2 linked regions of the Drosophila melanogaster genome follow. The protein of the gene in region 1 interacts with the protein of each later gene in a pairwise test. Each region holds a gene or a part of one and is shown on either strand. Other genes may lie near its edges.

Evidence for each region. The genes of interacting proteins can lie anywhere in the genome.
Region 2: the proteins of RhoGAP18B (region 1) and Pli interact in a two-hybrid assay, tested with the Drosophila melanogaster proteins (2 studies listed by BioGRID).

What each region holds. Positions count from the first base shown.
Region 1 is NC_004354.4:19,153,444-19,162,366, forward strand, and holds the start of RhoGAP18B (Rho GTPase activating protein at 18B), read right to left. Parts: upstream 4,759-8,923; 5' UTR 4,677-4,758; intron 1,559-4,676; 5' UTR 1,511-1,558; coding exon 1-1,510.
Region 2 is NT_033777.3:23,885,036-23,891,847, forward strand, and holds the start of Pli (pellino), read right to left. Parts: upstream 5,018-6,812; 5' UTR 4,659-5,017; intron 4,157-4,658; exon of another isoform or gene 4,085-4,156; 5' UTR 4,033-4,084; coding exon 4,022-4,032; intron 1-4,021. Other genes in the region: TfIIA-S (Transcription-factor-IIA-S), read right to left, coding at 5,544-5,792, 5,849-5,920; tbrd-1 (testis-specifically expressed bromodomain containing protein-1), read right to left, coding at 6,676-6,812. UniProt on the Drosophila melanogaster protein: Scaffold protein involved in the Toll signaling pathway via its interaction with pelle/pll kinase.

The DNA of each region.
Region 1 (8,923 bases):
CTGGCGAAACTGAAACCGAAGCCGAGGCCACCGAACGATCGTTGCCGCCGGCGAAGGAGAAGGCGAAGAGAGGCAGGCGCCGTCGCCAATCCCCCACAACGCCAACAACTGAGTCACGCGCTCTCCTTCGCCGATAACCGTTGATCGGTGGTTGTTGTCGCTGTTGTTGTTGCTGGTGCCACAGCCACAAGCTGAACGATTTGTCATAGGCGGTGAGAAAGCCACGCACACTCACGTGCAAGCTGGCCGAAAGAGCGAGACTCTGCATCAAGCGCAAGAGAGATACAGAGACTTGAGGCTGAATTGCGATTGCGACGACTGCGACGTGCTCTTCGATTGCGGCCACCTGTTGATGTTGCACTGCCTCTTTCTCTTCGCCCAGTGCGCTCAGATAGTCATTCACAAAGTTGGCCGTGATGGCGCAGCGCCGTTGCTCTCTTTCCGGCTCCACGTTGTGCGCTCTCTTCTGCTGCAGCTTTCGTTTAAAGTCCTTGACCAACTTCGCCTGCTCGTCCGCACACTTTGCACTCTCCTCCGTGCTTCTCCGCAGTGTGACCGTGCTCTCCTCGGCGGAGGATGAAGGATCGCGCGCTGGTACGCTCTTTGGCTGCTGCCACGGCCCCTCGTCGTAGTGGTGCACCTGCCGCCTCAGGGAGGTCATCCACTGGCAGATGCTCTCGTTGAGATACAATGATGAGGATCCTGATGTGCTTTCGTCCTGCAGCAGGCGAATGCGAGAGACGCGCGGCCTCTTGCGCTCTCTCTTGTGGCTCTGGCTCTCTTCGGGCTCTCTTACGCGGCCGTAGATGTGCTGATCGCTTTGGCTGCCCTTCAGTTGCTGCTGCTCTAGCTTGAGTTCGCAAATGCGCTGGAGGTCAAAGGTCTCCTGGGTGCGGAACACCTCGTCCACGTTGTGGATGATCTCCAGGGAGCCAGCGCTGCTACTGCCAGTCGTGGGTGTCCTCGGGAATATCCTGCGCTGCAGCGACGACGAACGGTTCAGCTGCTTAAGAGAGCCAAAGAGACGGGTCAAGGTCGCCGCACTGGACTTGGAGTAGCCCAAGAGCGACCGCGACTTGACCTTGGTGGGTGGTGTGGGCGGTGTGGTTGGTGTGGACGGTGCGGGCGCTTTGGCTGGCGTCTCTGACCTTTGACACCGGCACCGCTCGTTGTCGCTATAAATGCCGCGGCACAAATCGCAGATGTTCTCATAGATGTTGCTGCTCTCGCCGGAAATCGTCGAAAGGGGCGGTGGCGGTGGGGGAGGCGGTGTACTCACCACGCCCCCGCTCACGATGCACTGGCAGAAATGGCAGTAGCGTCCTTGGGCGGCAAACACGCCGTAGCCGCAACCCCGACAAAGATTCTCGTAGATCGCCTCGCGCGGAAAATACTTGCGCAGCTCCGCATTCAGGTGACCTTTGGGGGTGGAGGTCAGGCCCGGCAGATTCTCGTAGATGTGCGCCTCCATGCCGACGTTATCGTTAATGTCCTTCGCCTGCTGTGGCATCTCTCTTCTTTATTTCTTCTTCTGCCTCCCTACTTTCTCTTATCGCCGCTGCGTCACATCGTAATTCATTATTAAGTGAGAAAATAATCGCCGAGCGGGGCAATTGGAGAGATAGTAAGTGAGAGCACTGTCATCGAGAGAATTTCGTGCACCGCAAAAGAAATGTCGCGAAGGTATTTAATTAACATAAATTCGATTTGGAAATGCTCGAATGGCTCTTCTTAAATTTCTCACTCGAGTGAATTGAATAACTTGTAATCTTCGATTACTCACTATTATTTTTTGAGAAACACCCCAAAAACGACCTTAGTTCTCGCAGTGTAATCACTGAGAAAAGTCAATGGGCTTGAACTCTTTAAGTGATGCCACTACCCTCATTTTCTTTCTTTCTGTCTCTTTCCCTCCCGCTTCCGACTGCAATCAGCGATATTCATTATCTCAGCCAAAGTCGCTGCACTCTGCACTCAGTTTTCCTCCAAACCATCGGCTTTGCCTTCAAAACACAATTCTTTGGCTTGACTTTTTTTAAATCTGGGAATTTAAAGGATGAATTTTTCGAATCTAATTGCAAACAGCTTTTAATAATATGACCCTGTTATCGTGAATTTCTTTACCATTTCTTCTAATATTTACATATATTAGCTATTTTGATAAAATATTATTGGAACCCATTGCTGTATTCAATATATGTGTAACTAGACCCAATATCTCTGTATATTTCACGCCCAAAAAGATCCAGAGCACTTATCACTAATCAGTTTAGAGCTCTAAAATGAATTGTTTGTTTGCCCTAAAACATTTGATGCTTAAATGCAAATAATGTTTAAAGTAAAAAAAACCCCAATGCATTTCATCTGACTAGAATTCCACAGTGCTGCTTCTGCTTTTGAGCTTTGTTTTTCGTTGATATACGGAGATGAGTCACTAACCGATCCACCAAACCATGTCGGTCCTCTCGTAACCCCCGTCCTTATCCCTCGGACTCAAAATGATGGCCATGACTGGGTGAAGAGAGCGGAGAGGGGCGAGAAACCCCAGAGAAAACCCCGGAGAAACAGAAACAGGTTGGCGGCCAGTCGAGAATTGTGTAACGATCGTCGACTTCCTCACCTACGCCTCACAGGTGCCGCCAGGTAGATGGAATGTGGAACATGGTGTGTGGAATATGGAATGTGCTCAGTTCACACTGGCAAAAAATAGTAGCCACTGATTTTGGGAATTTAAAATATTACAAGAATTCTACAATTCCTTCTTACTGAAAAACCAAAACGGAAATATGCAAAATTTCATTTTACATATATTAATATATGTATATTCTATCTTTTTTTTTCAAGTGCACAGTTATCCCGAACGGAAGGCGAGAGTGAGCCTAATGGAGTTAAGGTGCCAAGAAACGAGGGTCCGTGCATTAATCTTTCGATCGGCGTAAGTGGGGAAATCATGTTTATCTCGATGGTAGATCTTGAAATCTTCTTCGGGGGCTTCGTATTATTCGTAATTCTTTGATCTAGGATCGCCGCCATTAATCATAATCGGCTTGGGGCGGAAAGGGGAAACCGGTTAGGGGTTTTAGGTGCTTAAAACATGTTTCGCATTCTCCAACACCACCAATTGTTGTTACAGCGTCATTTAAATAAAACTGATTCAAATCCAGTCGAGAGTAGCCTACCACCATATTTCAAAATACAACAGATTTGGATCGTTAGGTACCACAAATGTTGGTTGGTTGGTAGGTAAAAGCGTTTTCACGGTGTTGTTAATCATACTTTGGTCTAGAATCAGGGTCAATGGTCAATGGTTGTCTTGTTTGCTTGGACAATAACCTGTATTATTAATTTTCAATTCTTTATAATCATGTTTGGGTTGTCCTTTAAAAGATAATTTTACAGAACATTCTATAAGATATTCATTTCTCTGATAAAAAACACACAAATTATACAGAAACCGAATTTATTTAAATAGAAAATCTTGATTAATTACTTGCGTGATATATTAACAATCCGAGAAATAATTTAACAAAGAGCCATACACTTAATTGTTCCAAACTATTTGAATTTTAATAGCAAACAAAAGGCTTGTGGAATTCTTCATAACTGATTGACTGTGTTTTCACTAATATAATTGTTGTGGTCTCATTAGGAGCATTTCTCTGAACTAATTAGCTTTCTACAAAATAAACAATTCTTAAATTGAATCCCTAGGGTCTGAAGGTTCTGAAGCATAGTTATTAATAAATAAGTGAATAAACTATTTAGAAGCCTGACATCACTGGGCTTGTTGTTCATTTTGGAAATTTTGAAAGTATATATTTCAAATCCTTCATGACTTAAGAAATGCTTGCGATTCACTTTAAAGTGTTAAAATTTCATTAATAAAATGTTTTTATGTACTGATACGAATCACCAAAATGCAGCAATAGCATAGAAAAAATATATTGATACCGAATTCATATACTTTTTTAAAAATTTTCATTCAGAAAATCCGTTTCGTTATAAATAGCTATAAAAATAGCTGTAGCACAACCAATTGAATATTATATTTTTTAATATGATTATGATATATATTTTGTTGAACCCAATTAACTAAGTTTAACTTCAAACACTGGCAAAATACACAGTTTATAGTTTGATTCCTCAAATACAAAAAAAACAAAACCGCAAAACTTTGGTTTTTCGGGCGCCTTGGTGATAAACTTGCATACTTTTGGGCATTCGATCGAGACCTTCTTGACCCCGTCAATAAAACCTGTCCAAATTGTGCAGCCCCCAAGGAGACAGCAATGCAATCAGTGTGGATTGTGGGTAATCCGCTGATTTGCCTATGCCGATGATTCATCGCCGTTCATTTTCAGATGGCGCGACAAATGAATAAATGACGATGAATGCCATTGTAAAAGCAATATACTGTAATTCACAAGAAACACATGAGCACACACACCCATATTATGGGCGAAAGGAAGGAACAAATAAAACGGGATTGGTCCCGTTATCTCGCAGCGCTTATCTCACTTTCTCTCCAATTTCCCCAAATGCACTGTTTTATTATTAAAACTATTGTAGATCGATCGAGGCACTTGGTGGGCTTCAATACCGAAACCCGAGCACCAAAACAAAAAGCACCGATTTTGGCCAGCACTGATAAGCCGAGCTTTAAATGGGAGCATTACGAAATTGGGCTTGAGGTGGGGCTCTCCATCAAATCGGGAGCTGCAGGCGCGACGCGTTCGCGAATTTAACAGAATATCAACTGAAATTGAACTCAAGATGCCGCCGAGAATTTTCTTGGGTGGCGGTCCGCCTCGTAAGCGATTGACGTCGCAGTCGCCGCGCAGTCGCAGTCGCAGTCGCAGTCGACGCCACGAGTCGGTGGCGGTGGCTATGGCTATGGCGATGCCGACCTCCGGTCACCCAGGGAACTCGAGCACTCCACACTAGTCAGCAAAAGTGGGCACTAACCCCCAAAGCCCGCAACAAAATTTTGTTGCTTCCGATGAAAAAGCAAGTTGGGAATTATAAGCGGGTAATTTCAAATATTTCAGATATTCAAATGAAATATAATACATATATTACAGGATATATCAGTATTTTTAAAAACTATAAATGCTAACTATATATGCCAGCCTTACAAAATTATATCATCAATAAGTTTCTTTAGAATAAAACTTTTTAAATTAATATAAGATTCAATAGAAATTCTTGCCTTGTCTAATACATTTCTTACAGTTATTTACTTTTATAGGCAAAGTCTATGGATCATTATTATGACCATGACTATGGACCATTATGAGCTGTGATTCATCATCGGTGAAACTATGACTCATGTCAACCGAGCTTGAAACTATCCTTCGTACCCATGTCATGCTGACCAGTGTGGGCCAGAGATCAGTGATGGGGAGGCAAAAGCCCAGAACAGAACAGAACAGCGCAGAGCAGAACAAACCTAAAACTGAACTGAAACCGAACCACATGTGTGTAATGGAACATGGGCAACATGTGTGGCTCTGTCTGGCTGTGCGCCACCACATTCACGAATGTGCGTGTGTGTGTAAGGGTTGGGGGTGGCATGGGCTAATGAGGGGGTGAGAGGGTAAGGGTGGGGCGTGGCAGCGACAAAAGACGCTTTTTATACTCAACGCCCGTTGCCTAATTAAGCATATCGAGTGCGGTCCCTGAAGGAGGGTGGTAAAGGGGGGGGGGGTGCTGTCGAGGGTTGGGAGTTTGTTTTTCAGTTCGGCTGAGTTGGGAGTAGGGGGTGCAAAAAAAGGGGGGGGCTGGGGTCGGTTCTGGGACCGCAGAGGGGGCGGTGCTGGGCGGGTGGATCGAGCTGTGTAAGTAACCATGATGAATGCTAAACACTGTTCAATTTATGCACAACAGTTGCGTAAACCGATTACGATATGCATATACATATGTACATACATACTTTTGCTCAACACTTTATTGCAAGCAATTCCGATATGAAAATGAGAACTGCACTTTCAGCACGAACCGTAAGCTCTCTTATTTCTTATTGAATTTTGAAACCAATCCTCATAATCCTGTTCCTCATAATACTGCTCGCAATCATGTTTTGAAGATCCATATAGTACACGACCGATATTTACAAAAATCGGAATCCATATAAAACAGAACCGGGAGCAAATAGAGAAAGAAAAGATGAGGATGCATCTTTGGGGAAAAAACAACAATTCCGGGGAAGAGACTTAAAAAATAGGCGAATGAGAGTGAGACTGAGAATGAAAATAAAAATAAAAATGAAAATGAAAATAAAAATGAAAATGAGCAGAGGCCGGCGAAGAATCGCATTGCAGCCGATGTTCAGCAATATGGTCGCTTGATCTTTGAACTAAATTAATTAAGCACAATGAACACAATTGTTGTTGTTGGCTTCGCTGCCGACGGCATCAAATGTATCCACCAGATACGAATACAAATACAAATACAGATGCGGATACAAAACAACAAATACGCACACATACCGAAATAAAGAAATGCATTCAGGCTGTGACCAACATTGCATTCAACTGTTTGCTATCGGCTACCCTACATACATACATATGTACTTTTATGTATGTATGTGTATATGCAGGAATATACCAATAAATCATAGGGTTTTCTAGGGTTGACTAAGTGTGGGATTTACACTATAGATTTAATATCTATCTTAAAGCACGCCACCACATATGAGTTTTAAGTGCATAAATTGAAACCCAAATATATTTAATATATATTTATTCGGCTAATAAATTATGAATTATATCTCGGAGTAGGGCATTTAACATTCGCAGTGCTTGGTAAATTAATTCCTGAAGAACATATTTCTCATGTTTTCGCTTTCAGTTTCCATCTTTTTTTTTTTTTTTTGCCCCGACTCATATTTGGTTTGGCTTTTCTGCGGGTTCCTCGGCCGCCTTCTTTTCCCGAAAAAAAAAAACAAACGAAGAATTAAAAGGGGTGGCCCACGGCTCATGGCCCGTGGATGATGGTTGATGGCTGATGGCCCTGTCCAAGTCCCGTCCATGTCCCAACCAAATCCACAGCCCCGTCCCCACTCACATCCACATCCACATCCCTGTCCAGAACCAGACTCGCGTCTTTGGCAGCATTATGTTTCCGTCGGTAATGAGTTGGCAGCGACTGCAACTCAGTGTTGTCGAGATCCGACAGTAAAAACCCGATGGATTCGAGTAACAAGTGCATTTCAATATTTCAATGTGTATATAATAAGCCTCAATATGCAGTTATGATAAGCGGAGAGATTCTATACAATTTTATCTAATCTTAAATGTGTAGTATATCCTAAATGTATAATAATATCTAATAGTGTGCATAAATAAAGTGTATTTTAATAATAATTTTAATTTTTAATATTTTCAGTTGGTTTCTGAAAATGCAGAAAACTTCATTCTCAAATAATTTGCAAAAGATTAAAAAAAAATGCTATTTCTTGACTAGCAATTAAATAGTTGGAATGGCAACTCTATTTCTGCGTTGAATGTTGCATGTGGCTGTATTGGTGTTTACTCCCCCTCCCCCAATACATGCATCCTCTTCACCCCCCTCTCCACTGAGTTCACTTTATGATTATTATTGTTGGACGGCGGTCTTCTCCTTTTTTAATGAATTTTATTAAGCGCGACAGCAGCAGCAACAGATAGATCGAGTTGAAAAGAGGGGAGTGGGGAGTGGCTGTGTGTAAGTGTGTGTGTGTGTGTGTGTGCTGGGTGACCGAAGCCAGCAGCTTTTGTCAACGCCTCAAAAGTAAAGTAAAGAGCTGCTGGTAAAATAATAAAAATACAAAAAAACTGCCTTAATTGGTACTTTTTATTGACCATCGCCTGTGACTCATTCGATGTTTTATACCATTCAAGCATGAAATCTAATCCGATGAATTAGTCAATAATTGATAAAATGGAAAAACAATTTGCGTAAAATGGTGTGAAGTATGCAATAAATATGCACTGCATTTGTAAGTGCTTTACGCCTCTTAATTAATAGCATTTAAACGATTGTGTGGCTAATGAGAAAAGTGTGAATTAGAGAGGGCCTGTTCAATATTATGAAATTAGTTTTGTTTTTTAAAAACGCAATAAACCTTACACACACACAGAACCTTGTAAATTTTGAGAAACCGTTGCATTACTGTGTAAACTATTCCCGATTTTAACCATATTTCCCTATCAATTGCTTGGTCAAAGAATTGAACTGAAAGATATTAGTTTTCGAAACGTGTATTTATGCATTTTGCAAACGTTCGTGTTGACAGGAACAGAAGCTTGAATAAGTAAATGAAAATTGTTGTTTCCTATATAATTTTGTTTTCGATCAATCCTACTTATATGTAAGTAACACCAATTTAGGGAATGAGCCCGCTTCTATATAGCTCATCTCCAGACTTTCCTATCAGTAACACACTGCCGAAGGGCCCCCGAAACTTGACTCATAGACTCACAATTTGAGATAAAAACCTCTGAGATACAAATTGTGAGAATTCAATGACGCACGCGAGAGGGGGGGGGGGGGGCAGGGAGATAACGGAAGCTGAAATTGGAATTGGAATCGGAATACGTAAACGAGTACGAATTCGAATTGAAATGAGAATGTCAGCTCAAGTGTCAATCAGACGACGACAATTCTACTTGGCGCTGCATTAACAAAGAAAAAAAAAATTAAATTAAAAGAGAAATTTCGAGGCAAAAGTGCGGGGCAAATCAGAGCGAGAAAATGAAATGCATAAATAAAGCCAAATGGAAATAATGCACGCAGAGTATCTATGTGACCGACTGGGTACGTGTATTTGTGCCCGTTGTTGACTGATGACAAAATTGTTGCACTCGTCAGTCAGACGAACCAAGTGATAAGCCTCTGCACAGCAAAAAACAAAAGGCATTCAGTTGTTATTAGGCATTACAAT
Region 2 (6,812 bases), on another chromosome or scaffold:
ATGATAAGCAAGGGCAAATGCAAAATGCAGCAGCAGAAAAGCTGAGACAGGTTTAATGCCAACTTAGAATGTAACTCAAACTGCCAGAGTTTGCTCGTAAGTCTAGAATGACCAAAAAAAAGGTAGACTGTGAAAGGGGGATAGAACCATTAGACAGTCTGAAATGTTAATCCTCGTTTATTAAGCTTTCAGCTAAAGAACTGTCAAGGCGAGCATGAAATTCTGAGGCGGATGCTAACAATTTCCAATTCAAATAGCACTGACACTCTAAGCTTCTCTACATTTGGAACTCCCCTGAAATTAAACTGTGTCACATTTCATTCATTTAATTGAGTTGAAATAGGGAAACTCCCATTTCTAAAATTGGCATTTCTTCGTTTGCATGATAAAGGCGTTGTAAATTATCAGCTTCATAAGCTCAGCAGCTGTCGCCCTGATAAGAATATTTATTTCGTCGGCTTTAAAGTACATAGGAGTTAAACAAAAAATGGGTTCAAATCGCTGCGAGATATAGAAACCACAAAAATTTCAGTTTGAAGACATTTGCATACTGGAGAAAAATATCCAGTATCTTTGGATGTTCGTTAAAGTCTTTAAAATGTTTTAATGAAACAAAAATGCCTACATAGTTGGTTTATTTTGTACCTCAAAGTGAGAATCTCTCAACCCTTGTCCGCAAAGTAATTCCGGCGTTATTCACTGGAGTCATGGGCATGAATAATATCAGTTAATTATGTTTGTACGAGCGTTTGTGTATATGAATCAGCCAGAAATGGTGTGTCGTATGGAGTGGTAATTTCATAAATAAATTAGCACTTAACAAATGAGCAACATAAGCAAAATGTTGCTAAGCGCAACAGCAACAGGCGGTGGTAAAATTGCAGTTTGGTGGTCTGGCAAAAAGGGGAGTGGGGGAAAACAACAAGGAAGTCCGTAAAACAAAGCCAAGCTCAATGGAAAAACGGGGCAATGGCAGCCGCCAGACAAGAGCAAGCAACAACAACTACATACACACTACAACAGCCTGCAGAATGACGGAATTAAATTTTAATTTTAATCGCCAAAAAAGAACAAACAGATGGATGAATGAAAGAAAGAGATGGACAGAAATACAAGGAAGCGACTTATTCCATACAAACCATATGTACATTGCTACATACATACACACACCAATGAACATACATAATGGGGATCGGCGTGCAGACAAATAAATTTCCAAGCATAAGGCAAACGGCCGCCTTGCAGCCACTGAAAGCTGAAAATGCAAGCGCACAGCGGTGGCCAAGATAGTAGGCCACAAATTAGGCCTATCACATTGTAATGATAAGATGATAAAGAGAATACAAAATAAACCATCGGAATTCATAATTGTTATATCCTGTTTTTACCTAAATAGCTAGAAATTTGTTGACTCGTGAGAAATATAGATAACAAGTTTTTTAAAAAATAATTTTATTAAACTGTGAGCTGACTCTATATTTCTACCCGCGTCTGTGCAAGCGTCGTGGAATTTAATAAACACCGATCCGAACAAAACAGAACAGAACAGACACGGCCATATGCATGAAGGCTGTGTGGATTTGTACATAAATCCCTGCGAGACGATCACCAGAGCCACAACAACAAGTACAACAACAACCAAGGAACCCGAATAGCCACAGAGGAACAACAATAACAAAAACAACAACATGGGGAACAGGTCGCGGACTCAGGTAAACGGCAGGAAGTGTGCGAGTGCGAGCGAGACAGCATCGATAAGACCCACTGCCGCTGTGATAAAATATATCGATAAAAGGGGCAAGCAGGTAGTGTAGTTGGAAAAAGGCCTGAAAATTCTGGAAAAGCAGCCAAGGGGCGGGGGTTATGATGCTGAGGGGGCGCGACAACGAAAACATCAAACCAAAAATCTAGAAAAACTGAATAACAACAACAAGACCCTAACAACTGTAAAAAATGCAGCAAGAAGAACCTGCTTGGAGAACAACAACAACAACAACATCAGCGAAAGACAGAGAAGGAAACAAGAACACGAAAAACAACGCGACAAAGTAATGGAAAACGAGAGGAGAAGTTAAGTGCGAAAAGCCGAATTCTCTGCACCCTGTCAGTAATATATGTGTGTAGGTTAATTTTATATTATTTTATTTTTATTAGACCGTAATTTATTAAACAACGTGGAAATATATTAATATCTCTGAAATTTATATACAGCACTACAAAGAGCCACATTAATTCTTAGCAACCCAAGTAAGGGTATACAAATTGTTAGATACAAAGTCTATAATTAAGCAAGCGAGAGCGAGAAGCCCAAAGAAGTGGGAGCGAGAGAAAGAGAGCGCGGGCAAGAGAATGCAACGTATGCAGTTATTTATGTAGGCGCTGCCATGTTTTTTGTTTTTGCTATTTTGGGGGCCCCCAGATGAAAAGTCTGAAAATCGTGTAGAAAATCAAATTGCAAAGCCAAACTCCACTTGGACATTATATTGTCGTCGTTGTTCGTGGTTGTTGTTGTTGTTGCTGCTGCCGCTGCAGTCGTGACGTCAGGGCGCATGCGTTAAACCGAATGCCGCTTTTCTATTTTGCTGTCATCTCAACGATGTTATGGCGCTGTATCCTTTCAGTTTGAAGTTGAAGGGTATTCCCATTCCGTCGCCGTGTTGGCAACACTACTTTTTTGTTATTTTTTATTTTCATTGAGAGCTTTTCACTCAAGTTTTCATTTCCCTAAACACTTTGAACTTGATGGTGGGGAATAGAAAGCAGTTATCGGTAACTAGTCATCATCTGTTAACCCAACTGGAAAAAGGGTATCCCAGGAATTGAATTAAGTGGGCTAAAGATTTTCATACCCTTTATAGAGACAAACTATAGCTAAGCGCTTTCTATAAAACACAAAACAGACATCTTTAAAAACTCTTTTGCATAGTTAACTTTGATGTGTGTAATGTGGTATTGAACTTATGACAATCCCACTTAATCAAAAAACTTATTTCATTAAAACAAGCAAAAGAAAAGTACAACTGATAAAAACATTAAACTTCAAACAGTAATTAAATTACACTAATCAAACGAAGAGCGATTATACATGGAAATCAATCACTTTTTATGGTTATACGTTAAATCTCAAGAGGCCTGATTTAAACGTTATATTGAACTTACTAATTTTCCGACTGCAACTTACAGTTCTTAATAGGCGAATGAATAATTTTATAGAAGGGTACTAAAGATCCGGTTTTGAAAACACGCCTACTGTATGCGTTGTTTTTTACAATTTATTTTTGTTTGGGGAAAAACGCACACGAAATTTATGCGGCGTTGCGTTCTGGAGTTCTGAGTTTTCAGTGCTGAAGCAGGAAGATTTCGGTGGTGCGGTGGTGGGTGATGGAAATGCACCCTGAAGGGGGTGTTTTTCCCAGCTTGGGGGTAGGTTGTTGTTGGAGCCGCTGTTCGGTGGGAAAACATGAAGTTGGGGGAAAGAAAGCAAGGCAGTGACAAAATGCGCACACAAATAGAAACAGCTATCTTGCATTGCGACGTAGTAGCGATTAACAAAACCGAAAAGAAAAAAACAGAAACCTCTCACAAGGAAAACAATTATAAATTGCGTTATAATTTGTGCGATATGGATGCGGTGAGAATGTGAAATTGTTTATCAGACTTTTGGGGTTCAATAGACCCGACCAGACGCGGCGAATGCAACGCAAATCCCCATTCTAAATACGAAGTACAGGAAACTTCGGCTAGAGAAAAGAAATCCAAATGAATTTTACGAAGATTGTACTTGAACTTACAGTTAATCGTAATCTATATTCACTTTCCAAAAAACCCATTCTAAGCAATAGCTCTGGTGTTTATTTATGGATCTGCTTTATGGAGCGTTGACTGTAGAACCCTGCCTGTGACGAACATAGACGCTAATTGGTCTGTCGAAATGGGTTAACGACATTGCTTGATATCGGAGAATACATAGGCTTGACTGATAAAACTGAAATGCATTTACGATTATTGGACGATTACTTACCGTTTCACCATTTTGTTGGTTACCCCCGAGTTGTTTTCCTGCTGAGTGCCAATATCAACGGATCTGTTATAATCCAGTTTTGATGTAAAGATTTTAATGCGACGGAAATTAATTTTGCCGATCTTTTAGTCAAACCTTTAAATAATCGATACGGATATTATGGATTAATTTTAATTGCTATTCAACGCAACTTTTACTTCCTAGAAGGCGAGAAGTATTTTTTTAAAGTGATGGAGACGCAGCAGGAGTCCAATTGGAAACATACAAAACTAGAAGGGAAGGGGGTACATAAATTTATTTATATTTCACAGGGCGCTGCTCAATTTGTTTCCAATTTTTCTGCTGCTGCGACGCCAACGCAAGGTTTTATTTTCAATTTTTTTTTTTCTTTTCTCGTTGACTGCACGAAAAATTGATCCGCTTTCGCCGTAATTATATTCACGTTTCTGCAGTGGAAAACGGCGGAGATTAGCACGCAATATAAATGCACTTTAGATTTTTCCCTTGCCCACTTCTCGCCTCCCCAACCACCGCTAGCTCCGCTTTTCCGCTTTTCCACTTTCTTTGCGGCGCTTAGTCACTTCGCAGCACACACTAGGCACACTCTTCAAAATCACACTTCGTTTTGCATTTTTACCTCTCGAATGCGATTTATTCAGCAATCTGCTTGGGATATTATTGATATTGCTTTCGCACTGGCTCATCCGCACAAAGAATCTAAGGGATTTTCTTATGTTATTTTCCGATACACATAAACAAAGCTCGCGGCGTTTGGCTTTTCCGCATCTCGCGCGCGTTTTCGATTTAAAATCGCCTCGACTTCGATCGCCTGGCAGTTTCGATTCGCGGGCTTCTCTTAAAGTGAAGGCAGTGCCTGCCGTTCCTGTTATTGTTTTGTTGTTAATTGTCAGCGATTAAACGGCGTAGACAACAACAAATAACGATGCGTGGTTATGCGGGCGGTGGTTTTTGTTCGTTGGAGCAAGTGTGACTGCAGGTCGCGAGGCTAGCGAGCCCACTCGAAATGGCTACACCAAAAAGTGTGACTAAAAAATACCAAAATAACATATCACTGCTATCTAGCGAGGTCACTCACCATTAGCTGACTAACAGAGCTCTGTAAAGTGCTCAAACTAAATGAACTACAATTATTAGCAAATAATAAATAAATGTTTTCACACGTACACATATTTTGCATTACTATTTGGTAATGGCATTAAAGAACCCTTTTGTGCCCTACAGATTTTTGTAACGCAATTATTTGCATACCCACCTCATGTTTCCAAGAACTCCCTTTTTTTTAACGGAATACATAACAAACATACTCGACTCGGTGAACTGTGAATTAACAGTGTATTTCTTGCAATGCCTGCTGCATCGCACGGTCGGTTTTCGTTTTCCAACCCAGCTTATCGCCTACGAATCTTACAGCTATTTGTAATGGTTATAATGGTGTGTTTTGTGGGGTTACATGGTGTGTTTAGTGGGGTTACATTGGGTGTTCAGATCGGGTCGGTGGTGTTCAGAACTCGCCGCTCTTGCCGTCGCAGGCCACGATCTTCACCTTGTCCACCTTGACGATCTCGTGCACTTCGCGGAACTCCACATCGTTAAGCATGAGAGTCCAGACATTGTCGCAGAAGCGGTAGGTGTTTAGTTTTCCAGCCTTGAAGGTGACGCGGGCCTTGACCCGCTGGTTTAGGGCATTGTTGATGCTCTTGTCGAATTGCAGCAGAACCTTGAAAGCCAGTCCGGGCGTAATCTGGCCGTACTGCAATATGGAAGCCCAAAATTACAATGCGTTTCACTTCGCCAGCGCGAACTCACCTGAATCAGCTCGTCGAGGCTCTCCTGCAGGGTGTTGCCGAGCGTGGTGTTGCGGTACAGTTGATACGACATAGTGGCTGCCTTAATTCCGACGGAACAGCTTTTTCTTCTGCGACTTTTCTACGAACCTGTCAAGTCAAGCAAAAATTTTTAATGCGAAGCAACAGATTAGTGTTGGTTAGCACGCGATAGCGTGACACTTTGGAACACTTCTGTTATAGGGCTGCCAGATTGCAAGACGACTGGTCACCTTAGCTCTGCGTAGTTGCAATGTCAACCGAGAGGTGGCACCTTGGTGCTTGACTGTTTTATTTTGAATTTAAAAACAATAGAAAATGGTATAGTCGAGTTCCCCGACTATCAGATACCCGTTACTCAGCTAGTGGGAATGCCAAAGGGAACATTTCATCATTTTTCTGGGATATCGATAGATACTGGGGAATAAAATAGTCGTGACCGTTTTGGGCGTATTGTAGCAAAAGGAGGCGCGTGGCTAGTGTTTTTTTTTGCACGAAGAAAAATCTAAGCATTTTTCAAAAGTGTGGGCGTGGCAAAATGAGATCAATACAGACGGACATGGCCAGATCGACTCGGCTATTGATCCTGATCAAAAATGTATAGACAAATGTATATGATCGCAATCGCTTCCTTCTGCCTGTTCCATACTTTTCAACGCATCTAGTAATACAGGTATAATTAAACTATGAGAATGTCGGTAGCTCGTAATTAGAATCATATTTTAGGCTAATAACAATTCTTTATGAATAATAATTATAATAATTTGCATTTTCATTTTTTTTCATTTCCGTGGTAGAATTCTACACACTTTAATCGCTATCATAAGTTTGGTCATCCAGCGGCTCCGTACCAGGTGAAAATTCTTGTACATCCTGGGGCTCCATTTTGTACACTCGCTGTTCTTGCACAAACAGGGACTCCGTTTTAATAATAAATGGCTTTGGAA